4 linked regions of the Stegostoma tigrinum genome follow. The protein of the gene in region 2 interacts with the protein of the main gene of each other region in a pairwise test. Links are inferred from orthologs where the notes say so. Each region holds a gene or a part of one and is shown on either strand. Other genes may lie near its edges.

Region 1 (7,328 bases), on a different chromosome or scaffold from region 2:
TGTTGCCCCACTTTTGACGTGAAATGGCTTCTTGGTAGTTTAGAGTAAGTGTAAATGTATTTTGAATAGATGGAATGTCTGGTATTTCTGTAAATGAATATTAATTGAAGTTGGAAACAGCATGAACTGTAGATGATGGAGTCAGAGACAGCAGTGTGGAGCTGGAGGAACACAGCAGGCCAGGCAGCATCAGAGGAGCAGGAAAGTTGATGGGACTCTTCTTCAGAAATGGGTTTATTGTGAAGAAGGGTCCTGACCCGGAACATCAATTTTCCTGCTTCTTAATTGAAATTGGATGTCTTGGTATCTGGAAAGGCTCCGTGATGTCTGGATTAAGTTGGTTTCTTAGGTCTAGTGAATTATTCTTTTAGGGTTGAGGTGTGAATTAGATTTTGTAATTGAACAATAGTTCCAGGCAGCTGTCTCTGTTACTGTGTATTTGCTCAGAGCATAGCCTAGCTGCCTTTTTATTTAATTTTTAAAGCCCAGGGTTTTAGTCCGGTATTTTAAATGATAAGGATTTTCGCTCAATCCTACAGGCAATGACAAGATAGATGAAGGGGAGCCAGTACACATAATCTGTTTTTGAATTTCCAGATGATTTTGGACAATGTGTTACACAGATGGCTGATAAATAACATGAGAGGCTATTGTGTGTGGGATGAGGTACTGGCATGGATTGAGGATTGGCTAACTGGCAGAAGGCTGAGTTTAAAGTTGTCTTTTTCAGGGTAGCAGCTGGTGACTAGTGCAGTTCCACAGGATTCAGTGTCAGGACCGCAGCTATTCAAATTAATCATTGCTGATCTGAACAAAGGAGCTGCAGGAATTGGTGTTAAGTTTGCTAATGACACAAAGATAGACAGAAGGACAGGTCCTGTCTCTAAGGAAAGATGTGCTGATGTTGGAGGGGGTCAGAGGAGGCTTACAAGAATGAACAAAAACAGAAGTTGAATGAAAAGCTCAGCAGATCTGGCAGCATCTGCGAAGAAAAAATTAGGAGTTAACATTTTGGGTCCAGTGATCCTTCCTCACAACTTAAAAAAAATTCTTGTGTTTTTGAACTGTTGCCTGAAGAAATGGGCACGGAGCTGAAGACAGCGAAAGAACAGTTCGGCATTATGTCATATCTGAAATTTGTTCAGGTAGGGACGCAGAGGAATAAGGCTGAGGCTGTTGCTGAGTACAGAACATTCACCATCAGAGAGCAGAAGGTTAAGAGGGATGGTGAATAGCTGACAGGAGGTGGACTTGGAAGAGGGAATGGAATCGGAGGGGAGGAAGGGAGAGGAAGGTTCCAGAGAGCCATGGGTAGCTTTGAGAAGTTGCATCTTGTGGACCTTGATGCCTGAAAGGAAAAGAAAATGTTTCATGTTAGCACGGCGAATGAGCTGGAGGATGAAATGAAACTGTAGAGTGGTGCAGCTCTGAGCCAGCATGTTGTGACGCTATTGGAGAGAAATATTGAGTCTGAGCATGTGACGCCACATGGCAGAGAGAGTGGATCTCAGGATGTGGCAAGAGTAATTGTCCGTGGAACATTGAACATCATGGAGATAACTGTGATTCTGGGAGAATTCAAAACATGAGGGATGAAAATTCAGTTAGAATCCACAAGGGGTGAGTTAAGCCTGAGGCAGTCACTGAGGAATGTGATATGGCTGTGGAAACGAGTTTTAGCAAATACTTGGTTAAACACTGCGAGTGACAATTAATGTCGGTGGGCAAGAAGATGGAAATGGAAATCCCGTTGGAAAGAGGAGCAAAACTTCTTCAAGGTGGGCATGCCTAGCAGAGATGTAATAGTGAGTTAAATACTAGATTAGATTCCCTACAGTGTGGAAACAGGCTCTTTGGCCCAACGAGTACACACCGCTCCTTGAAACATCCTACCCAGAACCATGCCCCTATAACCCACACACCCCTGAACACTATGGGCAATTTAGCATGGCCAATCCACCTAACCTGCACATCTTTGGACTGTGGGTGGAGACCTGAGCACCTGGAGGAAGCCCACGCAGACATGGGGAGAACGTGCAAACTCCACACAGACGGGAGGCAGGAATCGAACCCGGGTCCCTGGCGCTGTGAGGCTGCATTGCTAACCACTGAGCCACCGTGTCACCCATGACCTGAACAAAACTGAAAGAACTGTGGATGCTGTAAATCAGGAACAAAAATAGAAGTTGCTGGAAAAGCTCAGCAGGTCTGGCAGATGAAAAAAAATGAGTTAATGTTTCAGGTCCGGTGACCCTGAGAACAATGATGATCCTGGGCATGAAGGATTGTCATATATGGAGCAGTTAAGGATTGTGGTTCTGTACTCGGTTGAGTTATTGAGTCGTAGATGTCTACGGCACTTCAGCCCATTTTGTCCATGCTGCTCATCCAGGATGAGGAAGAGATCTCATTGAAACTTACAGAATACTGACAGGCCTGCATAGAGTGGATGCAGAGATGACGTTTCCACCAGTAGAGGAGACAGGGAACTGAGGGTGCAGCTTAAAAGTGAAGGGAGGACCCTTGAGAACTGAGTTGAGGAGGAATTTCTTCAGATAGAAGTGGTGAATCTGTGGAATTGGTTGCTGCAGAATGCTGTGATAACCAAGTCATTGAGTGTATTTAAGACAAAGATAGGTTTTTGATTAGGAAGGGGATCAAAGGTTACAGGGGGAAGGCAAGAGAATATAATTGAGAAACATATTGGCCTTAATCGAATGGCAGAGCTGACTTGATGATCTGAATGAACGAATTCTTCTCCGATATTTATCGGGCAATTAAAGCCATAAAACTGCCGCAAACACATTCCAAAGGTCTGGTGTAAAATAACTAAATTAATTGGAATATCAAATAACAGTGGCCAGACAAGTGAATCAGGAAATTAAAACGAAGGGAAGAAAATCTGTGTGGAAAATGCATGGGCCCAGTCTGCCAGAAAGAAAATACTGAATTTAAATATTTCCTGGGCAGGCAGTCAAGAGAGTTTACACTTACTTTCTAAAGAGCGCACATTTTGCTTGAGGCAGGCTCGGCGCGCACGCAGTCTGGGCTCGGAAGGGAGGGGAGGAGATTGCACATGCGCTCTCTCTTGGTTATGACATCTGTGGTTTGGGGACGTGCTGGGGTCTGAGTTCTCATGGTGTGACTGTGTTGGTATCTGTGTTTCACCAATGACCGACTCATGCTGCAGTTAAAACTGGCCGTTGACAGGGTGGGCATTCCCGAGAAACTAACGCCGGGGAAGATCGACGCTATCTCTGTGGACTTGTAGTTTTTTAATTTGCCTCTTCCAAGGGCTTAATGTTTCCTGCGAAGTGGGAGGATAAAACATCAGAATCACGTTTAATTCGAGCAGCGGCCTGTCAAAATTTATATTTGATTTTCTTTTTTGTTGCTTCGAATTGGTTTGAATCAAGGAAATCCGTTGTAGGAGGAGGCGGCGTGTGACGTGGCGCAGCAATTGACATGGAGCACGGGGAGGAAATAGGTAATTGGGCAATCGGAATTACGGGGGCTGGAACTGAGGCCATGGGACTGGGTGGGGAATGATGGCTGTGATAATGGGAACTGCAGATGCTGGAGAATCCAAGATAATGAAATGTGAGGCTGGATGAACACAGCAGGCCCAGCAGCACTCAGGAGCACAAAAGTTGACGTTTCGGGCCTAGACCCTTCATCAGAGAGGGGGATGGGGTGAAGGTTCTGGAATAAATAGCGGGGGGGGAGGCGGACCGAAGATGGAGAGAAAAGAAGATAGGTGGGGAGGTAGGGAGGGGATAGGTTAGTCCAGGGAAGACGGACAGGTCAAGGAGGTGGGATGAGGTTAGTAAGTAGGAGATGGAGGTGCGGCTTGGAGTGGGAGGAAGGGATAGGTGAGAGGAAGAACAGGTTAGGGAGGCAGAGACAGGTTGGACTGGTTTTGGGATGTAGTGGGTGGAGGGCAAGAGCTGGGCTTGTTGTGTGGTGCATTGGGGGGGAAGGGATGAACTGGGCTGGTTTTGGGATGCGGTGGGGGAAGGGGAGATTTTGAAGCTGGTGAAGTCCACATTGATACCATTGGGCTGCAGGGTTCCCAAGCGGAATATGAGTTGCTGTTCCTGCAACCTTCGGGTGGCATCATTGTGGCACTGCAGGAGGCCCATGATGGACATGTCATCTAAAGAATGGGAGGGGGAGTGGAAATGGTTTGCGACTGGGAGGTGCAGTTGTTTATTGCGAACCGAGTGGAGGTGTTCTGCAAAGCGGTCTCCAAGCCTCCGCTTAGTTTCCCCAATGTAGAGGAAGCCACACCAGGTACAGTGGATGCAGTATACCACATTGGCAGATGTGCAAGTGAACCTCTGCTTAATGTGGAAAGTCATCTTGGAGCCTGGGATAGCGGTGAGGGAGGAGGTGTGGGGACAAGTGTAGCATTTCCTGTGGTTGCAGGGGAAGGTGCCGGGTGTGGTGGGGTTGGAGGGCAGTGTGGAGCGAACAAGGGAGTCACGGAGCGAGTGGTCTCTCCGGAAAGCAGACAGGGGTGGGGATGGAAAAATGTCTTGGGTGGTGGGGTCGGATTGTAGATGGCGCAAGTGTCAGAGGATGATGCGTTGTATCTGGAGGTTGGTGGGGTGGTGTGAGAGAACGAGGGAGATCCTCTTTGGGCGGTTGTGGCAGGGGTGGGGTGTGAGGGATGTGTTGCGGGAGACGCGGTCAAGGGCGTTCTCGATCACTGTGGGGGGAAAGTTGCGGTCCTTGAAGAACTTGGACATCTGGGATGTGCGGGAGTGGAATGCCTCATCGTGGGAGCAGATGCGGCGGAGGCGGAGGAATTGGGAATGGGGGATGGAATTTTTGCAGGAGGGTGGGTGGGAGGAGGTGTATTCTGGGTAGCTGTGGGAGTCGGTGGGCTTGAAATGGACATCAGTTACAAGCTGGTTGCCTGAGATGGAGACTGAGAGATCCAGGAAGGTGAGGGATGTGCTGGAGATGGCCAGGTGAACCGAAGGTTGGGGTGGAAGGTGTTGGTGAAGTGGATGAACTGTTCAAGCTCTTCTGGGGAGCAAGAGGTGGCGCCGATACAGTCATCAATGTAGCGGAGGAAGAGGTGGGGTTTGGTGCCTGTGTAGGTTCGGAAGAGGGACTGTTCCACGTAACCTGCAAAGAGGCAGGCATAGCTGGGGCCCATGCGGGTGCCCATGGCCACCCCCTTAGTCTGTAGGAAGTTGGAGGAATTCCCAGGCCCCAAGATGACTTTCCACATTAAGCAGAGGTTCACCTGCATATCTGCCAATGTGGTATACTGCATCCACTGTACCCGGTGTGGCTTCCTCTACATTGGGGAAACCAAGCGGAGGCTTGGGGACCGCTTTGCAGAACACCTCTGCTCGGTTCGCAATAAACAACTGCACCTCCCAGTCGCAAACCATTTCCACTCCCCCCTCCCATTTTTTAGATGACATGTCCATCATGGGCCTCCTGCAGTGCCACAATGATGCCACCCGAAGGTTGCAGGAACAGCAACTCATATTCCGCTTGGGAACCCTGCAGCCCAATGGTATCAATGTGGACTTCACCAGCTTCAAAATCTCCCCTTCCCCACTGCATCCCAAAACCAGCCCAGTTCGTCCCCTCCCCCCACTGCATCCCAAAACCAGTCCAACCTGTCTCTGCCTCCCTAACCTGTTCTTCCTCTCACCCATCCCTTCCTCCCACTCCAAGCCGCACCTCCATCTCCTACCTACTAACCTCATCCCACCTCCTTGACCTGTCCGTCTTCCCTGGATTGACCTATCCCCTCCCTATCTCCCCACCTATACTCTCCTCTCCACGTATCTTCTTTTCTCTCCATCTTCGGTCCGCCTCCCCCTCTCTCCCTATTTATTCCAGAACCCTCACCCCATCCCCCTCTCTGATGGGTCTAGGCCCGAAATGCCAGCTTTTGTGCTCCTGAGATGCTGCGGGGAATGATGACTGCTGCCTTCCCGTTATGATATATCACTACATAACTCATGGTTAATGCATCAAAAATCAGCCGATCGGCTCAGTTCATTAGCAAGTAAACGCACAGTTGCTGTGATTATGAGGAGAGAAGTAACATCCCATGAAAATGTTGTTGTTTATAAAGAAACTAACAATATTTAGACGTGGGAAAGTTTCATTTTTTTGGTTAGAGACTAGTTTTTTAATTACTTGCACTGTGCCTGACACTTACTGTGAATGAATGAATGTATCTAGTATGTTAAAGGCATCTGGGTACATGAATAGAAGGGTTTTGAGGGATACGGGCAAAATGCTGACAAATGGGACTCGGTCAGTTTAAGATATCTGGTTGGCATAGACGAGTTGGACCGAACACTTTCTTTCCATGTTGTATAACTGAGATAATTTGGTGAATGCAGAACATTTTGTTCATATATTAGAAGCAAAGTTTAACAACAATGTCTGGTTGGCATGGATGAGTTGGACTGAAGGCTCTGCTTCCATGCTGTATAACTCTGACTCTCTTGCAGTTAACTTGTTGAATGTAGAACGTTTCATTCATGTATTAAAAGCAAAATTTGACACCAGCAATGAACGAATACTCCCTTGGTCAGTCTATATTCTTGTCTTATGTGGCTGTGGTCAGATAAGACAATCAGATGTGTCTTAAATAAGTGTTTTTGTGAAGATATATGGTCAAACAATTTGTCTTCAGAGATAATGGTAACTGCAGATGCTGGAGAATCTGAGATAAAGTGTGGAGCTGGATGAACACAGCAGGTCAAGCAGCATCTTAGGAGCACAAAAGCTGACGTTTTGGGCCTTAAACAATTTGTCTTAGCTATTTTGTAAAATATTCAATTCAAAATGTAATGTGATGCTGGGCAAGTTGTTGGAAGGACTCCTGAGGAACAGGATTTTCATGTTCCTGTATATGGAAAGGCAAGGACTGATTAGGGATAGTCAACGTAGTTTTGTGTGTGGGAAACTGTGTCTCACGAACTTTACTTCTTCAAAAAACTTTAATTTAATGAAGAGGATTGAATAGGGTAGAGTGGTGGTCTTCAGTACGAAGTTTGACAAAGTTCCTTTATGGTAGCCTGGTTAGCAAGGTTACATTGTATGGAATATGAGCAGAACCAGCCATTTGGATACAGAAGTGGCTCGAGGTAGAAGACCGAAAATGGTGGTGGAAGGTTACTTTTCAGCCTGGAGGCCTGTGTATCTCGAAGGGTGCCTTTGTGGACACTTACCTGAAGAACGGAAGCTGAATGACCTTGACTGTTGAAGTGTTCCCCAACTAGGAGGGAACATTCCTGTCTGACAATTGTTGTGCGGTGTCCATTCACCCATTTTTTTTTTGTAGC
Region 2 (7,623 bases):
AAGCAGCCCACTTGATTGGCACTATGTCCACAAGCATCCACTCCCTCCTCCACCAACGCTGAATAGCAGCAGTGTCTACCATCACAAAATGCACTGCAGAAACTCTCAAAAGACCCTAGAAGCACCTTCTAAGCCCACAACCACTTCCATCTACAAGGATAAGAGCAGCAGATACACGGTAACACCACCACCTGAAAGCTCCCCACCAAGTCCTCAACATCCTGACTTGGATATATATCACAGCTCCTTATCTGTCGTTGGGTCAAAATCCTGGAATTTCCTCCCTGATGGCATTATGCTGTCGGTTGACCCATATGAACTGCAGTAATTCAAGAAGGCAGCTCACTACCACCTTCTCAAAGACAACTAGGGATAGACATTAAATGCTGGCCAGCCAGTGACATTCACATCCCAATAATGAATAAAAAGGATTTAGCTAAGGGAACTAAATGTAATATCACCAAATTTTCAGATGACAAAAAACTTAGTAAGAAGGATAACTGCAAGGAGACTGCAGATATGTTTTCTATTTCTTGTTCTGAAGAGTCACTGCACCTGAAATATTTTACTTTGTTTTCTTTTTGCAGATTTTGCCAGGCCTGCTGAGTTTTTCCAGCAATTTCTATTTTTGTCCGAGATTCCTGCTCCCGATGTGGATGACAGCAGAGCAATGGGAAGCTGGAGCAAACTACCATGGCAAGGAGGAACAAGGTGCCATTCAGGATGGAGCAGAAGAGAGAAATGTCATTATAATCAGGGGAACAGACAGTTCTGTGGTCCGATCTAGAGTTCAAGAGGTTGTGTAATCTGCCTGGTGCCCAGGCGCGTGTGTGCGCGCGCGCGTGCGCGTGTGTTTGTGCGCGTGCGCTTGTGCGTGTGCGCGTGCGCTTGTGCGTGTGCGCGTGCGCTTGTGCGTGTGCGTGTGCGCTTGTGCGTGTGCGTGTGCGCGTGTGTTTGTGCGTGTGCGCGTGTGTGTTTGTGCGTGTGCGCGTGTGTGTTTGTGTGTGTGCGCGTGTGTGTTTGTGTGTGTGCGCGTGTGTGTTTGTGTGTGTGCGCGTGTGTGTTTGTGTGTGTGCGCGTGTGTTTGTGTGTGTGCGCGTGTTTGTGTGTGGGGGGGCGTGGAGGAAGAGGAATCCAGTTGTCATGGGCCATGTAGGTATCAATTATATAGGAAGAAAGAGGACAGAAGTTCTGCTGAGGGAATATAAACAGATAAAGGGATAAATTGATTAGCAGAACCAAAACGATAATAATCTCTGGATTACTACCTGACCCATAAACCAATTGACATAGGGTCAACAAAATTCAAGAGGAAACACGAACCTCAAAGATTAGCCCAGGAGAAATGGGTGCAAATTCATGGGACCGTGGCACCAGTGCTGGGGAAGGAGGAAGCTGTTCTGTTAGGATGGGCTCCACCTGAACCATGCTAGGACCAAAGTCCTGGTGAATCACCCAACTAGGGCTGTGGATAGAACTAAACTAAAAAATGCAGGAATAAGTTAAAGTGGGGGGGGGGGTGGTGGAATTTGTCAGCCAAGGTTATTAATTGTTCTGAAAACTTTAAAAGGACAGAGTACAGAAAGGGTCAATAATCTAACTTCAGGCACAGCAGATAAGGATGGGAGCCAGTCAACATAGGACTAAAGGTTTTATATTTAAACACACACAGTGCACAAAACAAAGTCAATGAGCCGGTGGTGCAGATTGAAACTGGCAGGTACCCGAGACACATCTGCAAGGAGATCAGGGCTGAGAACCAAATACCCAAAGATATGTATCCTATTGAAAGGACAAACAGATTGCCAGAAGGGGTGAGGTTGCCTTGGTAGTAAGAAATGAAATTAAATTGATAGCAAAAAGTCATATAAAAGAATCGCAAAGTAGAATCCAGGTAGAGCTGCAGAACTGCAAAGGATAAATGACTGATGGGAGTTACCTACAGGCCTCCTAGCAGTAGTCAGGATATAGGAGAGAAAATAAGGCCATGTGATACATGGAGGTTTGGGGGGGGGGGGTCGTGGAGGGAAGAGACCTGATTGAAACTTACGGAATACTGATAAACCTGGATAGAGTTGACTTGAAAAAGGCATTTCCACTAGTAGGAGAATCTAGGATCTGAGGGCAGGCTCAGATTTAAGGGATGACCCTTTGGAACTGAGATGAGGAATTTTTTTCAGCTGGACAATGATGAATCTGTGGAATTTATTGACACCAGCCGAATGGGTGGTGTTAAGACAGAGACAGCTGAGTTCAAGAGTTACGCGGAAAATACAGGAATGATTGAATGGTGGAGCAGATGTGATGGGCCGAATGCGCATTCTGCTCCTATATCTTAGTCTTGTTATTAGCTAGGAGTATTCATCCAAAATCGTGCCCAAGACGACTGCACGGGGAGAGATAATGGTCGGTAAATCCCATATTTTGTGGGTGGAATGAACTCGATTAATCGAAATGTCCCAAAGGTGTCAGTTACAACCCGTTTGCTGAAAATCAACATATTAATCATATATGCCAAATTGTTACAGACATCAAGGCTGATTTATAGAGAAAGAATTATCTACCGAAAAACCAAGAGTTTAACCTGAAAACTCAGCAGCATTTACCGACGCGAGTTTCAGGGTCAGATTGTTCCGTACAAACACAAATCCCTTTTCAGTGGATATGAACCAAACAGGAGTTTTCAGGACAGCCCGGGAGGCACATATTTCCACATTGTGACGGCGCGGATGCGCAACAAACAGGAAAATCAGCCTCAACCGCGCCGCACGTTGTCGATCCCGGGGCAAAACTCGGCGTTAGCTCGGGATCAGCGCTAAAGTGCGCATCAGATACGGCCTGGGCCCGGCTCAAAACTCCAAGTAAACCCCGGCGTTAACCACGGTCTCGGTTAACAGCTTTGGGCCTCCGTGAGGTAAATCAGAGACGGGGGAGGAAGTCCACCGCACACTCACCCTCCCACACACAAGGTACACCACGGATCCGCGACTTTCCTCAGGTTCCAGCGACGCGACCACTCAGTCCGTCCGGATTCGCACCCGCACTAACCGGAAGTGCGCCGGCGTCTTCCTAACAGCATCACCAGTGACCGCCAGGCGAATAACCAATCGGCTTTCAGAAGAGTGCTTCCGGCTATGCGTGGAAGTTGTCGCGCAGACCTTCGGGTAATGTAGATTGGCAGGTACCTAGTTTTGAGGGAATCGATTGTTCCCAAAATGCACTTTGACCAGAAACAAAAATATTCTGAAAGGTGTAGCACAGACAGTAGGAACTGCCGCTGCTGGAGAATCTGAGATAACCAGGTGTAGTGTCAGAGATGATGGAGAATTCCAAGATAATAAAATGTGAGGCTGGATGAACACAGCAGGCCAAGCAGCATCTCAGGAGCACAAAAGCTGACGTTTCGGGCCTAGACCCTTCATCAGAGAGGGGGATGGGGAGAGGGAACTGGAATAAATAGGGAGAGAGGGGGAGGCGGACCGAAGATGGAGAGTAAAGAAGATAGGTGGGGAGGAGAGTATAGGTGGGGAGGTAGGGAGGGGATAGGTCAGTCCAGGGAAGACGGACAGGTCAAGGAGGTGGGATGAGGTTAGTAGGTAGCTGGGGGTGCGGCTTGGGGTGGGAGGAAGGGATGGGTGAGAGGAAGAACAGGTTAGGGAGGCAGAGACAGGTTGGACTGGTTTTGGGATGCAGTGGGTGGGGGGGAAGAGCTGGGCTGGTTGTGTGGTGCAGTGGGGGAAGGGGACGAACTGGGCTGGTTTAGGGATGCAGTTGGGGAAGGGGAGATTTTGAAACTGGTGAAGTCCATATTGATACCATTCGGCTGCAGGGTTCACAAGCGGAATATGAGTTGCTGGTCCTGCAACCTTCGGGTGGCATCATTGTGGCACTGCAGGAGGCCCATGATGGACATGTCATCAAGAGAATGGGAGGGGGAGTGGAAATGGTTTGCGACTGGGAGGTGCAGTTGTTTGTTGCGAACTGAGCGGAGGTGTTCTGCAAAGCGGTCTCCAAGCCTCCGCTTGGTTTCCCCAATATAGAGGAAGCCGCACCGGGTACAGTGGATGCAGTATACCACATTGGCAGATGTGCAGGTGAACCTCTGCTTAATGTGGAATGTCATCTTGGGTCCTGGGATGGGGGTGAGGGAGGAGGTGTGGGGACAAGTGTAGCATTTCCTGCGGTTGCAGGGGAAGGTGCCGGGTGTGATGGGGTTGGAGGGCAGTGTGGAGCGAACAAAGGAGTCACGGAGAGAGTGGTCTCTCCGGAAAGCAGACAGGGGTGGGGATGGAAAAATGTCTTGGGTGGTGGGGTCGGATTGTAAATGGCGGAAGTGTCGGAGGATGATGCGTTGTATCCGGAGGTTGGTAGGGTGGTTTTCAAGCCCACCGACTCCCACAGCTACCTAGAATACACCTCCTCCCACCCACCCTCCTGCAAAAATTCCATCCCCTCTGCCCAATTCCTCCGCCTCCGCCGCATCTGCTCCCACGATAAGACATTCCACTCCCGCACATCCCAGATGTCCAAGTTCTTTAAGGACCGCAACTTTCCCCCCACAGTGATCGAGAACGCCCTTGACCGCGTCTCCCGTATTTCCCGCAACACATCCCTCACACCCCGCCCCCGCCACAACCGCCCTAAGAGGATCCCCCTTGTTCTCACACACTACCCTACCAACCTCCGGATACAACGCATCATCCTCTGACACTTCCGCCATTTACAATCCGACCCCACCACCCAAGACATTTTTCCATCCCCACCCCTGTCTGCTTTCCGGAGAGACCACTCTCTCCGTGACTCCCTTGTTCGCTCCACACTGCCCTCCAACCCCACCACACCCGGCACCTTCCCCTGCAACCGCAGGAAATGCTACACTTGTCCCCACACCTCCTCCCTCACCCCTATCCCAGGCCCCAAGATGACATTCCACATTAAGCAGAGGTTCACCTGCACATCTGCCAATGTGGTATACTGCATCCACTGTACCCGGTGCGGCTTCCTCTACATTGGGGAAACGAAGCGGAGGCTTGGGGACCGCTTTGCAGAACACTTCTGCTCAGTTCGCAACAAACAACTGCACCTCCCAGTCGCAAACCATTTCCACTCCCCCTCCCATTCTCTTGATGACATGTCCATCATGGGCCTCCTGCACTGCCACAATGATGCCACCCGAAGGTTGTAGGAACAGCAACTCATATTCCGCCTGGGAACCCTGCAGCCATATGGTATCAATGTGGACTTCACCAGTTTCAAAATCTCCCCTTCCCCTACTGCATCCCTAAACCAGCCCAGTTCGTCCCCTCCCCCCACTGCACCACACAACCAGCCCAGCTCTTCCCCCCCCACCCACTGCATCCCAAAACCAGTCCAACCTGTCTCTGCCTCCCGAACCGGTTCTTCCTCTCACCCATCCCTTCCTCCCACCCCAAGCCGCACCCCCATCTACCTACTAACCTCATCCCACCTCCTTGACCTGTCCGTCTTCCCTGGACTGACCTATCCCCTCCCTACCTCCTCACCAAACCTCTCTCCACCTATCTTCTTTACTCTCCATCTTCGGTCCGCCTCCCCCTCTCTCCCTATTTATTCCAGTTCCCTCACCCCATCCCCCTCTCTGATGAAGGGTCTAGGCCCGAAACGTCAGCTTTTGTGCTCCTGAGATGCTGCTTGGCCTGCTGTGTTCATCCATGTCCACACCTTGTTACATTCTGAAAGGTCACTGGATCAGAAATGTTAACTCTGTATCTCTGTCCATAGATAAGGTTCACTAACAGTTTCTGTTATTGTTTCCGACTTCAAACAATTACAGTTTTTTTCAGTCAGAAGCTGGGAAGGTGCGGCTAGGACTCGAGGTTGCGGCTAAAGGGGAAGGATCCAGTGAATGGGTGGGGGGGGCTGGGCAAAAGCCGGACGGGAGAAGGGGTGGAGCGACAGAGGGGGCGGGGCGCGAAGGGGGTGGGGCTCCAACATAATACTTTGCCTTCAGGGTGAAGGGACATTTTGTTCCCTGCCTGTAAGCTGCGTGTTCGCCTCAGTCAGGTTCCCTCTCCAGCTTTCTGTGCTCTAAAGAAAACATCCCCTTGTGTCTGAGATAATGGGAACTGCAGATGCTGGAGAATCCAAGACAACAAAACTGTGGAGCTAAATGAACACAGCAGGACAAGCAGCATCTTAGGAGCACAAAAGCTGACAGTAATCAAGCTGTAGCTAAACCAACATTGTATACACCTCCTTCAGCTTGTATTCAACGCAGACATTAATAAACGCAATGTAGGAACAAATTATTGCAGTTGCTGAAATCCATGCTGAGCAAAAATGTTGGAGATCACAACTGGTTGGGTAGCATCCATGGAGAGAGAAAATAACCTAATATTTTAAGTGTGAGGCCTTGTTTAGAACCTGGCTGTGTATCAATTTGGAGTCAGATGATGTTATTTCTAAAGCAGGAATTTATAAAATACAATACGGATTGTCTGCAATTTCTGTGCTTTTTGAGCAAAAAAAATGTATCTACAATTATAAATGTGCAAGTGCAAATCAGAGGCTGATAGCTATGTTCAGTGTCCACGAGGACAGCCTCAACCGGGATCTTGGGTACATTTCACACTACAAGTGACCCCAACACACTATACTCTATATATACACACACACACACACACACACACACACACACACACAAAAAAAATCACATACACACAATCACATACTCACACAGACAATCACATAAACACACACATGCACAATCACATACATGCACAGAAGATCACATACACACATATACACAATTACACACCCAATCTCACACACAAAATCACATACCCACACACAATCACATACCCACACAGACAATCACATACACACACACAATTACATACACAAACACGCACATGCAGAAAATCACATACACACACAATCACACGCACATGCAGTTACACACAATCACATACACACATAATCACATACACACACACACAATCACACACACAAACACAATGTTCTATGTTCTATACACAATCTCTCTCACACACACACACTCAATCACATACACACACAACCACATACATACACACAATCACACAGACAATCACATACACGCACACAAACACACAATCACATAAACATACACACGCACACAGATAATTACATAGATATATACACACACACACGCACACGCACAGACAATCACATACACACATACACAGTTCTATACAGTTGTATAGGACTTTGATTCAACCATATTTAGAATACTGCATACAGTTCTGGTCGCCACATTACCAAAAGGATGTGGATGCTTTGGAGAAGGTGCAGAAGGGAGGTTCACCAGGATGTTGCCTGGTATGGAGGTCACTAGCTATGAAGAGAGATTGAGTAGATTAGGACTATTCACATTAGAAAGACAGAGGTTGAGGGGGCCCTGATTGAGGTCTACAAAAACATGAGGGGTATAGACAGGGTGGATAGCAAGAAGCTTTTTCCCCAGAGTGGGGGATTCAATTACTGGGGTCACGATTTCAAGGTGAGAGGGGAAAACCTGAAGGGAGACATGCGTGGAAAGTTCTTTACACAGAGGGTGGTGGGTGCCAGGAACGTGTTGCCAGCGGAGGTGGTAGAGGCGGGCAT
Region 3 (7,650 bases), on a different chromosome or scaffold from region 2:
CATTGGTTGAAGTCATATTCAAGCACGAAGGAAGATAGCTGTGGTTCTTGGAGGTCAAACCATCTCAACCACATGACATCACTGCTGGAGTTGCCTAAGGTAGTGTTCTTGCCTCAGTCATCTTCAGCTGGAGATGTTTATTGACAATTGCATAATGTTCAACAACATTCGCAACTCTTCAACTATTGAATATGTCCATGTACATTCAAAAGCAGCAAAACCTGAGCAACATCCAGTTTTGGGCTGATAAGAGGCAAGTTATATTTTTGCCCAGTATTACATCTCCAGTAAGAGAATTCAACCATCCGCCCTTGACATTTAATAGCATTGGATTCCCTCCGGTGAGGAAACAGGCCCTTCAGTCAAACAAGTTCACACCGCCCCTTGAAGCATCCCACCCAGACCCATCCCCCTATAACCCACACACCCCTGAACACTACGGGCCATTTTGCATGGCCAATCCACCTAGCCTACACATCTTTGGACTGTGGGAGGAAACTGGAGCACCCAGAGGAAACCCACGCAGACATGGGGAGAATGTGCAAACTCCACACATACAATCACCCGAGGCTGGAATCGAACCTGGGTCCCTGGTGCTATGAGGCTGCAGTGCTAACCGCTGAGCCACTGTGCCACCCTTAGCATCACTGAAAACCACAAACAACATCTTGGAGATCACTATTGACCAGAAATTGAACTAGGCTAGCTATGTTAGTACTGTGGCTACAACAGCAAGTCCAAGGCTTAGAACACTGCAAACAAAAACTGAAAGAACTGTGGATGCTGTAAATCAGGAAAAAACAACACAGAAGTTAATGGAAAAGCCCAGTGGTTCTGGTAGCATCTATGAAGTAAAAGGGGGCATTTAAACAGTCCTTGGATAAGCATATGGATGATGATGGGATAGTGTAGTGGGAGGGGCTTAGATTAGTTCACAGGTCGGCGCAACATCAAGGGCCAAAGGGACTGTTCTGCGCTGTATTGTTCTATGTTCTAAGAGTCAGAGTTAACATTTTGGGTCTGTTCTGAAGAAGGGCCACCAGACCCAAAAGTTAACTGATTTTTCTTAACAGACACTGCCAGACCAACTCAGCTTTTCCTGCAACTTCTGCTTCTGAGCTTAGAAATCTGCATTGGGTAATTCACCTCTTGATTCCATAAAGGAGGTGAGTGAGCAAAGGGTCGGGATAGGATGGTGGTTCAATGTGCCAGGGTACTGTGGTAATTATACACAGGGCAAGGGAAGGTGATCAATGCACACAGGGCAGGGAAGACGTCAGTGCATACATGGCAGGGGAGAGGTCATTGCAGACAGGGCAGGAGGAGATCAGTACACACATGGCAGGGGAGGGGTGTCAATATAGACTGGGCTTTGAGGGGGGGTAGGTGTGGTCAGAATACATATTGGGGGTTGATGCAGACATGGCAAGGGCAGAGGTGGTCAGTGAACACAGGGCAGGGGAAGTGGTCAGTGCACACAGGTCGGCGGTGCGGACATTGCACAGAGCGCGGAGGTTGTCAGTTTACACAGGACGTGGGGTGGTCAGTGCACATAGGCCAGGGGATGGTCAGTGTAGACAAGGCCGTGAGTGGGATAGGAGTGGTCAGTCCACATGGGGCGGGTGCACACTTGGTGATGGTGTGGGTCAGAACATCAACACTAGAGTTTGTGGATTAAAGCTGTAATCGGTGCCTTTCTGGTATTTTTGTTTTTCTGTTCTGCGCCGTCTAGATTTGAAGCCCTCGCCTTTGAGATGTACCTGAGGAGCTGCTGACACTCTCCGGGATCCTCTTCCAGTTTGTGGTCAACAAGCGTCATCTCCATAGCAACCATACACACAGTTAGTTCGCACCCAGCCATTGGGCAACATGGGATTCATCTGGACCAATAGCAAAGCTACTAAAATAAATCCCGGAAACCCGGAAAGGCCCAACAATAAGAGATAACAAGGCGTCGAGATGGATGAACACGGCAGGTCAGGCAGCATCAGAGGAGCAGGAAAGGTCCAAACCCGAAACGTCAGCCTTCCTGCTCCTCTGATGCTGGCTGACCTGCTGTGTTCATCAGCTCTATGCCTTGTTAACCTCAGATTCTCCAGCATCTGCATTTCCTACTATCTCAAAGTCCAACAATAAACTCATTTCCCTCATGCAATGCAGACTAATTGTTAATACGACTTAGATACTACGAACGCATTTCCTTTATTTATATTTGTGCAGCCTTAAATCTCTCACCAACTGTCCTTCAAGTTATACAAAAGAAATCCGCTGAACCCAGTTGTGAACCAAGGTAGACAAATAGGAGGCTGTCAAAACACAGCAAGCTAGGCAACATAACTTGGAAAGGAGAAGGCGACATTTCGGGAATTAGAGATAACAAAGTGTGGAGCTGGATGAACAGCAGGACTGCCTTTGGCATGAACCCTTCGGCAGATCTACATCAGAAGACATTTCGCGAAAAATCGCTTATTTTGTAAAAATTTCTTTGAATGACATCAACAATTGGGGTACAGTGGTAAAGCTTCTCCTTTTGAATTAGAAGATCCGGGTTCAAGTCCCACCTGCTCCAGAGCCGTGTTATTCACGTATCTGAACAGGTGCATTCCTGCGACAAAAACAGAAATTGTTAGCGAAATTCAGCAGGTCTGACAGCATCTGTTCACCAGAGAGTTAACTCTGCTTTCTCCACACGGTTGCTACCAGCTTGAGAATTTTGCCAGCGACTTCTTCTTTCAGATCTATGGCGTCCTGAGTTCTTTGTTTTATTGTGCGCATGACAGACAGTTGCACATCTGCCAATGTGGTATACTGCATCCACTGTACCCGGTGTGGCTTCCTCTACATTGGGGAAACCAAGCGGAGGCTTGGGGACCGCTTTGCAGAACACCTCCGCTCGGTTCGCAACAAACAACTGCACCTCCCAGTCGCAAACCATTTCCACTCCCCCTCCCATTCTTTAGACGACATGTCCATCATGGACCTCCTGCAGTGCCACAATGATGCCACCCGAAGGTTGCAGGAACAGCAACTCATATTCCGCTTGGGAACCCTGCAGCCCAATGGTATCAATGTGGACTTCACCAGCTTCAAAATCTCCCCTTCCCCCACCGCATCCCTAAACCAGCCCAGTTCGCCCTCTCCCCCCACTGCACCACACAATCAGCCCAGCTCTTCCCCTCCACCCACTGCATCCCAAAACCAGTCCAACCCGTCTCTGCCTCCCTAACCTGTTCTTCCTCCCAACCCAAGCCGCACCCCCATCTCCTACCTACTAACCTCATCCCACCTCCTTGACCTGTCCGTCTTCCCTGGACTGACGAATCCCCTCCCTACCTCCCCACCTATACTCTCCTCTCCACCCATCTTCTTCTCTCTCCATCTTCAGTCCGCCTCCCCCTCTCTCCCTATTTATTCCAGTTCCCTCTCCCACTCCCCCTCTCTGATGAAGGGTCTAGGCCCGAAACGTCAGCTTTTGTGCTCCTGAGATGCTGCTGGACCTGCTGCGTTCATCCAGCCTCACATTTTATTATCTTAGTTGCTCTTCGTTGCTCGCTGCAATGCTTGGACAGCTGCAACCGTTTGTACTGCATTGTGGGAATTGTAGTTCGCAATCGTCCGGTTAAAGATGCGTGCGCGGACTTCAACTCCCGACAGCACTTTCTCCTCTACCCATAACAACAGAAAGTTGGCGTTGTGGTTTTCTCCTGAGCCGTGGAGGATCCGGTATTCTGTCCCTGGTTTCGGCTCCGGCATGACTTCCTTCCCTCTGTTTTTCCGCCGAGGCTGGTCAGCGCTTTTGCCGAGGGAATGCGGCCCGTCTTTTGCCCGTCTGCGGCCTTGGAGGTCGGTGTCGGGCACCCGCTGCCTGGACTCCCGGCACAAGGGTAGCGCCTTGAAACGCTGGACTCTGCTGGTAGATCCTTTCGGCTCTTTAAAGGTGCGCCTGCCCTGCGATGTGTCGGTGAAGCCGCTGGACCCGCACGGCTACCCGTCGGCTGACCGCGCTTTCGTCGAACTCATTTCCCCAAACCAAGGGGAGAATATGGACGATGTTCTGGTGAAGTACGACAAGGCTCTGAAACAGATGGTGGTGACTTCTGAAAAAATCAGCGGCGATACTCGCATCGATTTGGTCACTCCGGTAAAGTTTGGTAAGTGCATTTTGTGAAACTGAACCCTGTTTTCGTTTTGGAGGTAGTAGGAACTGCCGATGCTGGAGAATCTGAAATAACACGCTGTGAGGCTGGATGAACACAGCAGGCCAAGCAGCATCAAAGGAGCTGGAAAGCTTGAAAGAAGAAGGGTCCCGACCCGAAACGTCAAGCTTTCCTGCTCCCCTGATGCTGCTTGGCCTGCTGTGTTCATCCAGCCTCACATCGTGTTAGTGATAATGGGAACTGCAGATGCTGGAGAATCCAAGATAATAAAATGTGAGGCTGGATGAACACAGCAGGCCCAGCAGCATCTCAGGAGCACAAAAGCTGACGTTTCGGGCCTAGACCCTTCATCAGAGAGGGGGATGGGGTGAGGGTTCTGGAATAAATAGGGAGAGAGGGGGAGGCGGACCGAAGATGGAGAGAAAAGAAGATAGGTGGAGAGGAGAGTATAAGTGGGGAGGTAGGGAGGGGATAGGTCAGTCCAGGGAAGACGGACAGGTCAAGGAGGTGGGATGAGGTTAGTAGGGAGGAGATGGAGGTGCAGCTTGGGGTGGGAGGAAGGGATGGGTGAGAGGAAGAACAGGTTAGGGAGGCAGAGACAGGTTGGACTGGTTTTGGGATGCAGTGGGTGGAGGGGAAAAGCTGGGCTGGTTATGTGGTGCAGTGGGGGGAGGGGACGAACTGGGCTGGTTTTGGGATGCAGCGGGGGAAGCGGAGATTTTGAAGCTGGTGAAGTCCACATTGATGCCATTGGGCTGCAGGGTTCCCAAGCAGAATATGAGTTGCTGTTCCTGCAATAAGCAATGGTTCGCAATAAGCAACTGCACCTCCCAGTCGCAAACCATTTCCACTCCCCCTCCCATTCTTTAGATGACGTACATCATGGGCCTCCTGCAGTGCCACAATGATGCCACCCAAAGGTTGCAGGAACAGCAACTCATATTCCGCTTGGGAACCCTGCAGCCCAATGGCATCAATGTGGACTTCACCAGCTTCAAAATCTCCCCTTTCCCCCACCGCATCCCAAAACCAGCCCAGTTCGTCTCCTCCCCCCACTGCACCACACAACCAGCCCAGCTCTTCCCCTCCACCCAGTGCATCCCAAAACCAGCCCAGCCTGTCTCTGCCTCCCTAACCTGTTCTTCCTCTCACCCATCCCTTCCTCCCACCCCAAGCCGCACCTCCATTTCCTACCTACTAACCTCATCCCACCTCCTTGACCTGTCCGTCTTCCCTGGACTGACTATCCCCTCCTTACCTCCCCACCTATACTCTCCTCTCCACCTATCTTGTTTCCTCTCCATCTTCGGTCTGCCTCCCCATCTCTCCCTATTTATTCCAGAACCCTCACCCCATCCCCCTCTCTGATGAAGGGTCTAGGCCCGAAACGTCAGCTTTTGTGCTCCTGAGATGCTGCTGGGCCTGCTGTGTTCATCCAGCCTCACATTTTATTATCTCACATCGTGTTATCCCCGTTTTTGTTTTGAAGGGTGCCAGTCTTTTCAGCGAAACCCTAGTAGTTTGAGATCCAAAAGAGATCGTGATGCCCGGAGCATAAAAACAATTTGGATCCGGGCATGTTTCCTTTGCTGCTTCTGTAAATCTGCTAATTGTTTCCATGTGTTTAAAACAGTGGTGTACCTGTCGTCGTTTTTAGTGGCTTTTGGAAGTTACCATGGATATTTTGGAACCAATATAAAAAGGCCATGGAAATAATGGGAAATTATCTACATGTTGCACTGTCAGTACCCATTCTAAGGGGATCCCAAGTTAATTAAATACTTACTGCTGTTTTATGTAGAGTGCATGCAACATACACACGCTTAGTTCAGCAGGGGACGAATGCTTTAGCATTAGACTCATTTATGAGAATCACTTTACTGACTGTTTTGCTTCAGAGTTTCAGCATTTTTTGGGGGTGGGGGGGAGGTTTATGTGCTTGAGCTGCTGGAGTTAGTTTTGAGCATGTGATCAGGCTTAGATCGTTACGAAATAGGAACAGGAGCAGGCTGTTTGGCCCATCAAACATGATCCGTCTTTCAATATATTTATAGCAGATCCAGTATTCCTCACGTCCGCTTTCCTGCTCTTTCCCCATAACCCTTGATTCCCCGATTTTTTTTTTTTTTTTTTTTTTTGATCAAGAATCTATCTTAGCCTTAAATATTCACAAGAACTCTGCCCCACAGCTGTCTGTGACAAGACCCAGATGACACAGCAGTTGCATCTATGAGGAGGAGGAAAAAGTCTTTTGTCAATTTTTGTTTGTTGTTTTTGTGTGTGTTTATTTATGTCCTTAGAAGTTTGTGTGAAATAAGATAGTTTATATGGGTGGCTTGTAAGGATAGGTAAAAAGTAGTTGTTATGCAACTTTTAATTTGTCTGTGGAATTAGAGTTTTGATTGACTTACTACGTCCTTCAAGGTATACTTAGGCAAAATTATCTCTCATATGAAAATAGTTTAATGTTGTAAGGCCATAAATTATGAGTAGGAGTAAACCACTTGGTCCCTTTGACCCTACAACACCATTTATGGCTTATGACCAATTTATGGTGTTAACCCCAATTTCCTATCTGTTCCCATAATCTGTAAATTTTTTTGATGCATCAAAGAGTTATCTAACTTGGATTTGAATATATTCAATGAGCCTGCCTCCCCTGCTCCCTGTGGAAGACAATTACAAAGACTTATGACCCATCAAGAGAAGAAATTCCTTCTCATTCGTCTTGAGAGGCCCCTCCTTTTGAAATTGTCCCCAGTTCTAGACAGATTCCCTGAAAGGAAACCTCTTCCCTGCACCTCTGAGAAGTCCCCTCAGAATCTTATTTCAATAAGACAAACCTTGCTTTCTTCTAAACTGTAATGAATACAGTCTCAATCTTTATGTATAAAACAACCATTTTCAAATCACTAATCCATCCACAGTTCTCTGAACTATATATCCCCTTTTAATGGTAAGAGGTTGATAAAGTTGATGACAGGGAAGTTGTAAATCTTCTTCCAAATTATCATCTTTCCTCATTCCAATTCACCCTAAGCTCTTCTGGGCCCAGATGAGGTTTTTTGTTCTATTAGTACTATAGAGAAGCTTGTTCAACTAAACATTCCCATTTTACATACAATGCATTTTTAAAGCAATGGGAATATAATTGCAAATGTACTGTGTATTTTAAGATATGTAAGCAGATGATTTTATGTTGTCTCTTGACTGATTTTTCTTTTTTAAAATTCATTTTTAAACTTCATATTTCTGTTTGCAGACCTGGACATTAGCACCTTTCATAAAGGATGTGTCAAAATAAAAAAAATGGAGAGTGATAACTGCTATGTAGAGACTGAAAAAGGGCACAGTATCCTGAACTCATTAAAGGTACAAATTTTTCTCAGAACTTTGAGTGTTTTTCCATTTGGTGTTTTAGTTTAGACTCCAAATAATGGAAACATCTACAAAATTACTGGACTTTCAACATTATGGAAGTGAATTAATGTTG
Region 4 (7,093 bases), on a different chromosome or scaffold from region 2:
AATATCGGAACAAAAACAGAAATTGCTGGAAAAGCTCAGCAAGTCTGGCAGCATCTGAGAAGAAAAATCAGGAATTAAAAATCAGGAAGTTCTAAGGAAGGGTCACTGACCCGAAACAATAACTCTGATTCCCTCTTCACAGATGCTGCCAGACCTGCTGAGCTTTTTCAGCAACTTCTGTTTTTGTTCCTAATTTACAAAATCTGCAGTTCTTTCGGTTTTTACTTAAACGTACACAGCTTGTTTTTGTTGCTGTTCCAACCCCCTAAGTACTGGTGGATGATTACTCCTTCAAGCTAATGATGTCAATATCGGTGAGAAACTCAGGTTAAAAAGTGACATGTATGTTGCTCAGGTGTGTGCCTTCTGTGTTTCACAGGTGCCTCACAGCTTCAGGTCATATTGTCCTAATTAAGCCAACTCTGCCTGTTCACTCTGTTCCTCAGGGCCACCTGCTCGCAGTCACATGAAAATAAGCAGATAATCACTCGCCAACAAAAACTCTCTCAGTTTCAAACTAAGACTACACATCATGTACAAACTTGGCCTCACTGTGAGAAAATTAACCAGTCACATGTCAACTTAAAAACTAATGAATGCCTAGCACCTTGCCTTCTGGATACTGTAAATCTGCATGACAGCGCCTTTACAGTTACGTTTTGCAAAATGAGTTTCTAGAGACATTAGTACACTTCACAAAAAATTAGTCTTTGATCTGAATTCTTGCATTTAACTCTCCTCTTATGAAAGATTCAAATTGAAAATACCAAGTGCTGAGTGAAACATTGAGAAAGAGGTGAAGAGTGTATTGTATAGACTACAGGGAGTGAGGTGGACAGGATCCATACTGTCGGGCTCCTGGGGGCCAGCCATAACCAACAACTTGTCCTGGTCCATCCACATAAATGTGATGGTCAGGAAAGCACAATGACTCCGCTTTCTCCTCAGCAGGCAAAGGAAATTCAACATGTCCGTAAGAACCCTCACTACCTTTTACAACTGTACCACTGAAGGCAGTCTATCTGTGTGTATAACAACTTGGTATGGCAACCAGCCGCATAGGACGGTAAGAAACTTCAGAAAGTTGTGTACACAGTCCAGTCCATCACACAAGGCAATCTCCCATCCACTGAATCCATCCATACATCTCACTGCTGTGGAAAAGCAGCCAACAGCATTAGAGACTCCGTCCCACTCCAGTTATAATCTCTTCCAGCCTCTTTCACCAGGCAGAAGGTACAAAAGCTTAAATACGCACCAACAGGTTCAAGACATCTTCCTCCCTGCCACTATTTGACTGCTGTATGGGCCGCTCTAATTTCAGAACTAATGTTGATCTTTCTTGTGTACACCTCCTGTGCAGCCATAACTTTGCATGCCTTGCTCTGTTCAATCATTCATATGTCCTTGTATGCTATCATCTGCCTGTACTGCATGCAAAACAAAACTTTTCACTGTACTTAGGTCCACGTGACTACAGTAAATCAAATAAAACCAAATAAAGGATGGAAAGCGGCAAATTCTGACAATGTGGCTTAGACGAGGTTGACATAAAACACAAATGTATCATGAAAGCATTTTACTCATTGTGTGTGTTTACAAGATCGACTGTGCCACCCAAAAAGATAGGAGCTGCATCTGAAATACCTGATGCCCAGCAAGAATTTTTTTTATGTTTTAAGGTACTGATATACTTCATAGATGAAGTAGCAATATAATAATAATGTAAAATAAAGTCTGAAATCAATGGTCTGTGCATTGGCCTTTTAATTCAGCCACTTTTAATTAGTAAACCACTAAAACCAGTTGGAAGTATTGCACCATACATGCTATCATTACCCAGGAGCCTGGTGCTACATGAGTACAGTTTCCCTTTTTTAAAAAGAAAGACGTGGAATACTCTTGCTGGATTAGCCCCAAAATAATGAAGCTCCAATTTTTCCCTTTATCAGAAACCAAATTTACGTAAAATAGTTTCAGAGAAGACTGAGGAAGAGGAATCGTTGGCTTTCCAATGTATACAACTGTGCTTTTGGCATCATTTCTGCAATCATATAAATGCGAGTAGGCGGGACTAGAATGTGGAAAAAAAAGGTGAGCAATGTTTGGATAAGCGTGTCAATGTACTGAGGTGCTGCACTGACAGCCAGTCTCTCACCGACCAGCTAGAGCTAGAGGTTTAACATTTAAAAAAAACACTTTCAGTTTTAGAGGGGAGAACACAATGATGGCAAGTAGGAATAAAATCTGTTTAATGTTGTTGCTGTAAATCCAACTGATCACAAAGCACACCAACCCGCACACACAGGGGCACCATAGCCGGAGAGAGAATGTTCAACACCAAAAATCAAACACTATTAATTCCGGCACAATTACACGGGAAATAACAAGGCAGCTTTGATGTTTCCCAATTCGGGAATGCGCTCTAACCTCTGCAATTCAATGCAGGCAGAGTTTACAACGTTAACCGGGCAGCAAATGCTGCACCCACACAGTACCCTGGCCCTCTCAGTGCCCCCTCCACCATAAAAACCATCACCGCATTTCCAATCTGTGGGTGAAAACGTGAGGAGCCCGCACATCCTCCCGGAGCTTCGGGCTGGCCTCAGCAGTGAGAGGTCCGGGAAGGGGACCGTTGTCCCGGCTACCCAGCCAGGGACGCTGTGGCCCAGGATCGGAAATCTTCAAGGACACGCTGCTCGGCCGTGAAACTGCACAAAGTCGGGAATGGGAGGGTCCAAGGCATCTCTGTGTAATGTTGGATCCTGAAGGGAAGGTAAGGGCTGCGTCCCTGTGTATTGGAAAGAAGTGTATCCAAGCTGCCCCTACAGTGAGGGATGTGAGGGATACTGTAACTGACCTGCACAGCAGCAGGGCTCCGGTTCCTCATTCCACGCTCAGATCACTGCACCGACCGCCAGGCTGTTGTTGCCTGCCCACAGTCTTCCTCTCTCTCTCTCCCTCTACTTCATTCCTCCAACAGTTAATACCACATCTGGCTGAGGCTGCTTCACCAATCAGCAGCTCAGTGAACCGGCCAGTGTTCAGAGAGACAGACAACACCAGCCATTAGCCTGTAAGAGCTCCGAGCTGGGGAATGCGTCATGCAGCTAACTGGGCTGAACTAGCAACTCCCTGACAAATAACAGCAGCTAGCTTGCTGCCACTCAGACATCAGGCGTGGAGAAGGCACCCTCAAAGATGCTGGGGGAGAAAGAAGGAGGAAGCAATTACTTCCTCCCTTTCTCTTTTAAAAAAATACACCAGATAGTTTCCACTCGCCCAAAGCTGACATTGTTCCAGCTAATCCGCACACTGCCCCTCATTCTGGCGAAATTACAGCAAGATTTCTACTGAAACTACATGACTTCACGTTCTGCCTACACGTTCATTTAAAAATTACATTTAGAAATGAAATGACAGTTTACAGTTACATGTAGAGGAGTATAAGCAGAAAATGCTTGATTCTGATTCAGGCCACATATGAAGATGCACTTCAGGGATTAAATGTGAAAATTTAATGAGGTAAAGGTTTAATCTTAACACATATCTAAATTAAACAAACACTTCTTCAGTTCTAAGTGATCTTTAATAAGTTTTAAAACTAGACTAATTCAGATTTTAATAAAATTCTTTAAATATAATCAGAAATAAAAAGAAAATAATTGAGGGGTAAATATCCAATAAGTGTAAAATCTGCAAGCAGTTTGACAAACTGAACAAACATTTAAAAAGTACTGTTGCAGTGTTCAGAAATTTAATAACCGGAGAAACATGTTGCAAAAAGGTAGAATCTTCAACTAAACATTGCACAGCACAGCTTTCACAACCTCAGGGTATCCCAAAGTGCTTTACAGTCAATGAAGTACTTTCACAGTATAGTCACTGTTCTCAATATAGGAATGATGATGTGCTCAAGTCCTTAAAGTGGCAACCCTAAGGCTTATGGTCTTGATGACACTTAGCATCAACAAAAGGCACACTGGCAAACTCTCACACTGAGAAAATATCCACCAATACAAATGGAAGAGTTTCTATAGGTACGTGAAGAGGAAGAGATTGGTGAAGACAAATGTAGGACCCTACAGAGGGTAATGGGGGAATGTATGATGGAGGACAAAGGAAGTGCCTGAGGAACTGAATGGTTCTGCCGTCACAAAGAACAACACAATTCAGACACCAGAACTGTTAGAGAATGCAAGATTTAGTGAGATGGAAGAGCTGAGGGAGAGCAATATTAGTAGAGAAATAGTGCTGGGACAATTGTTGGGATTGAAGGCTGATAAATCCCCAGGGCCTGATAATCTACATCCCAGAGTACTTAAGGAAGTGGCTCTAGAAATAGACCATGCATTGGTGGTCATCTTCCAGGATTCTATAGACTCTGGATGGTCACTAATATCACTCCAATATTCAAAAAGGGAGGTACAGAGAAAACAGCGAATTGTAGATCGGTGAGCCTACCATCGGTAGTGGGGAAAATTCTCAAACCCATTGTCAAAGATTTTGTAGCAGAACAGTTAGAAAGCAGTGGCAGGATCAGACCGGGTCAGCATGGATTTATGAAGGGGAAATCATACTTGAAAAATCTGTCAGAATTCTATGAAGATGTAACTAGTAGATTGGACTAGGGCAGCCAGTCGATGTAGTACATTTGAACTTTCAGTAAGCATTTTGACAAAGTCTCACAGATTAATGTGCAAGATTAAAGTGCACGGGACTGGGGGAAGTATATTGAGATGGATAAAAAACTGTTTGGCAGAGAGAAAACAAAGAATTAATGGGTCCTTTTCAAATTGGCAGGCAATAACTAGTGGGGTGCCATAGGGATAGGTGCTGGGACCCCAGATTTTCACAATATAGACCAATGATTAGGATGAGGCAACAAAATGTAATGTCTTGAAGTTTGTAAATGATACCGAGTTGGGTTGGAGGGTGAACTGTTATGTAGGTACAGAGATCCGGACTGGTTGAGTGAGTGGGCAGATCAATGGCAGATGCAGCCTAATTTGGATAAATGTGAAGTTATTCACTTCAGAAGCAAAAGCAAGAAGGCAGATTACTACCTGAATGGCAGTAAATTGGGAGAGGGGACTGTGGAGCAGGACTTGGGTGTCCTTGTGCATCAGTTGCTGAAGGTAAGCATGCAGGTGCAGCAGGCAGGAAAGAAGGTAAATGGTATGATGGCCTTTATTGTGAGAGGTTTTGAGTATAGGAACAGGGGTGTGTTGTTGCAGTTATGCAGGGCCTTGGTGAGGCCACACCTGGAATATTGTGCGTAGTTTGGTCTCCTTTTCTGAGGAAGGATGCTGTTGCTCTCGGAGGAGTGCAGCAAGGGTTTACCAGGCTGATTCAGGGAATGGCAGGATTGACAGAGAGATTGATTAGGTTGGGAATGTTTTCACTAGAGTTCAGATCAATGAGGGGTAATCTCATAGAGACTTATAAAACTCAAACAGAACTGGACAGGGTAGATGCAGGGAGGATATTCCCGATGGTGGTTGTATCCAGGGCCAGGGGTCACAGTATGAGGATTTGGGGTAGATTATTTAGGACGGAGATGAGGAGACAGTTCTTCACCCAAAGAGTGATGAGCCTGTGGAATTCATTACCGTAGGAAGTAGTTTATGCCAAAACACTGAATATATTCAAGAGGTGACTAGATATAGCACTTGGGGTGAATGGGATCAAAGGTTACGGGGAGAAAGAAGGAATGATCTGCCACGATCATGATGAATGGCAGAGCAGGCTTGAAGGGCCGAATGGTGTCATCCTGCCCCTATCTTCTGTGTTTCTGTGCTTCTGTGGAATAACACATACATACATTTTCCAAAGGTCTTATTTTCAGGAGGGATGAAAATTTGGACAAATTCTAGGTGAAAGCTAAGCACAAAGTACCAGTTGGTCTGAGGGGAAGTCATTCTCGGCTACAGAACAATAATGACAGAAGTTACTGAGTAACTTCTTAAATGTGTTTTGATCTCTTATCATAAGAGAAATGGAATGATGCCTGCATATGTGGAACAGCCCTCAATCCCAAAAAAAACATGAAGGGCCTCTTCTTGGCTCATTCAGTTGACTAACACTTGATAGTTTATTTGATCAGAAGTTTCACAGAACAGCAGCAGAGCTAAGGGGAAAAAAGAAGTTGCAGGAAAAGAATATTGTAGAGCAACAGGTTCGAGTTCCTGAAACGAGTTATGATCCTACTGTATTAAGAACAGTTTGCACTGCAATAGTACCTCATATGTAGTAGAACATTCATTGGTGTTTGTGAGGTATATTACAAAGAAAAAACTGACACCCAGTCCTATGGGAGCAACTAAGGAAAATAAACAAAGGCTTTGTTGAAGAGTTCGTATTTAAAGAGCATCTTAAAGGAATAAAAAGATATAGAGGTGAAGGGAGGAGATGCTAAAGCTTAGAAACTTAGCAGCTGAAGGTAGGATTTCCAATAATGGGGGATGATTAAAATCAGGAAGACATAAAGCAGCAGAATTGAGACTGTGCAAAAAAAGGGTTATAAGACTGGTGGAGATGGTAGTGATGGAGGGGGTGTAGGCAGCAAGGCTATGAGGGGGTTTTGAAGATAAAGATTGAGAATTTCAAAACAAAGATACTGTTTAATCATGAGTCAATGTAAATTAATGAGCACAGGGTAGTTATAGGTGAACAGGATTTAGATATGGACAGCAGAGTTTTACGTTTACAAAAGGCAGAACATGTTAGGCGAGCCAGAAGCACACATAAATTGTCAAGCTTAAAAGTACCAAGAGCTTGGATGAGATTTTTAGCAGCAAATGATCTGATTTTGGGCTATGTTAGGCATAAATAGTGCATTTTTAAAGACATGTTACATGAGATTTGTCTGCCATGTTTATCCAAAAGTCCTTTATATACGGCTAATTAATAATTGTGTTTCTTAAATTTAGCGATACATTTTGTCATATAAACTACAATGCCATCCCTCACCTCATTAATATAGCTACATATATTATGGACAGAAAATATTGAAAAAGAGCTACAATGTTATAACCCAGTTTTAATAATTTCAAAATGCAGCACCTTAAGTAGTTAGTTGATATCAGGTTTA

Evidence for each region.
Region 1: the proteins of txlna (region 2) and deuterosome assembly protein 1-like interact in binary tests that used the Homo sapiens proteins (3 or more experiments, as listed by UniProt). The two-hybrid records come from large-scale screens. The link is inferred for Stegostoma tigrinum from reciprocal best matches to the Homo sapiens genes TXLNA and DEUP1.
Region 3: the proteins of txlna (region 2) and ccdc146 interact in binary tests that used the Homo sapiens proteins (3 or more experiments, as listed by UniProt). The link is inferred for Stegostoma tigrinum from reciprocal best matches to the Homo sapiens genes TXLNA and CCDC146.
Region 4: the proteins of txlna (region 2) and dtnba interact in binary tests that used the Homo sapiens proteins (3 or more experiments, as listed by UniProt). The two-hybrid records come from large-scale screens. The link is inferred for Stegostoma tigrinum from reciprocal best matches to the Homo sapiens genes TXLNA and DTNB.

What each region holds. Positions count from the first base shown.
Region 1 is NC_081359.1:48,534,177-48,541,504, forward strand, and holds the start of deuterosome assembly protein 1-like, read right to left. Parts: upstream 3,022-7,328; 5' UTR 2,995-3,021; intron 1-2,994. Other genes in the region: neutral amino acid uniporter 4-like, read left to right, coding at 3,466-3,487. UniProt on the Homo sapiens protein: Key structural component of the deuterosome, a structure that promotes de novo centriole amplification in multiciliated cells.
Region 2 is NC_081377.1:47,670,255-47,677,877, forward strand, and holds the start of txlna (alpha-taxilin), read right to left. Parts: upstream 3,068-7,623; 5' UTR 2,955-3,067; intron 1-2,954. UniProt on the Homo sapiens protein: May be involved in intracellular vesicle traffic and potentially in calcium-dependent exocytosis in neuroendocrine cells.
Region 3 is NC_081378.1:24,324,940-24,332,589, reverse strand, and holds the start of ccdc146 (coiled-coil domain-containing protein 146), read right to left. Parts: upstream 3,013-7,650; 5' UTR 2,562-3,012; intron 1,826-2,561; exon of another isoform or gene 1,761-1,825; intron 1-1,760. Other genes in the region: protein FAM185A, read left to right, coding at 3,626-4,151, 7,420-7,529. UniProt on the Homo sapiens protein: Essential for sperm flagellum biogenesis and male fertility.
Region 4 is NC_081357.1:130,868,183-130,875,275, forward strand, and holds the start of dtnba (dystrobrevin, beta a), read right to left. Parts: upstream 3,083-7,093; 5' UTR 2,861-3,082; intron 1-2,860.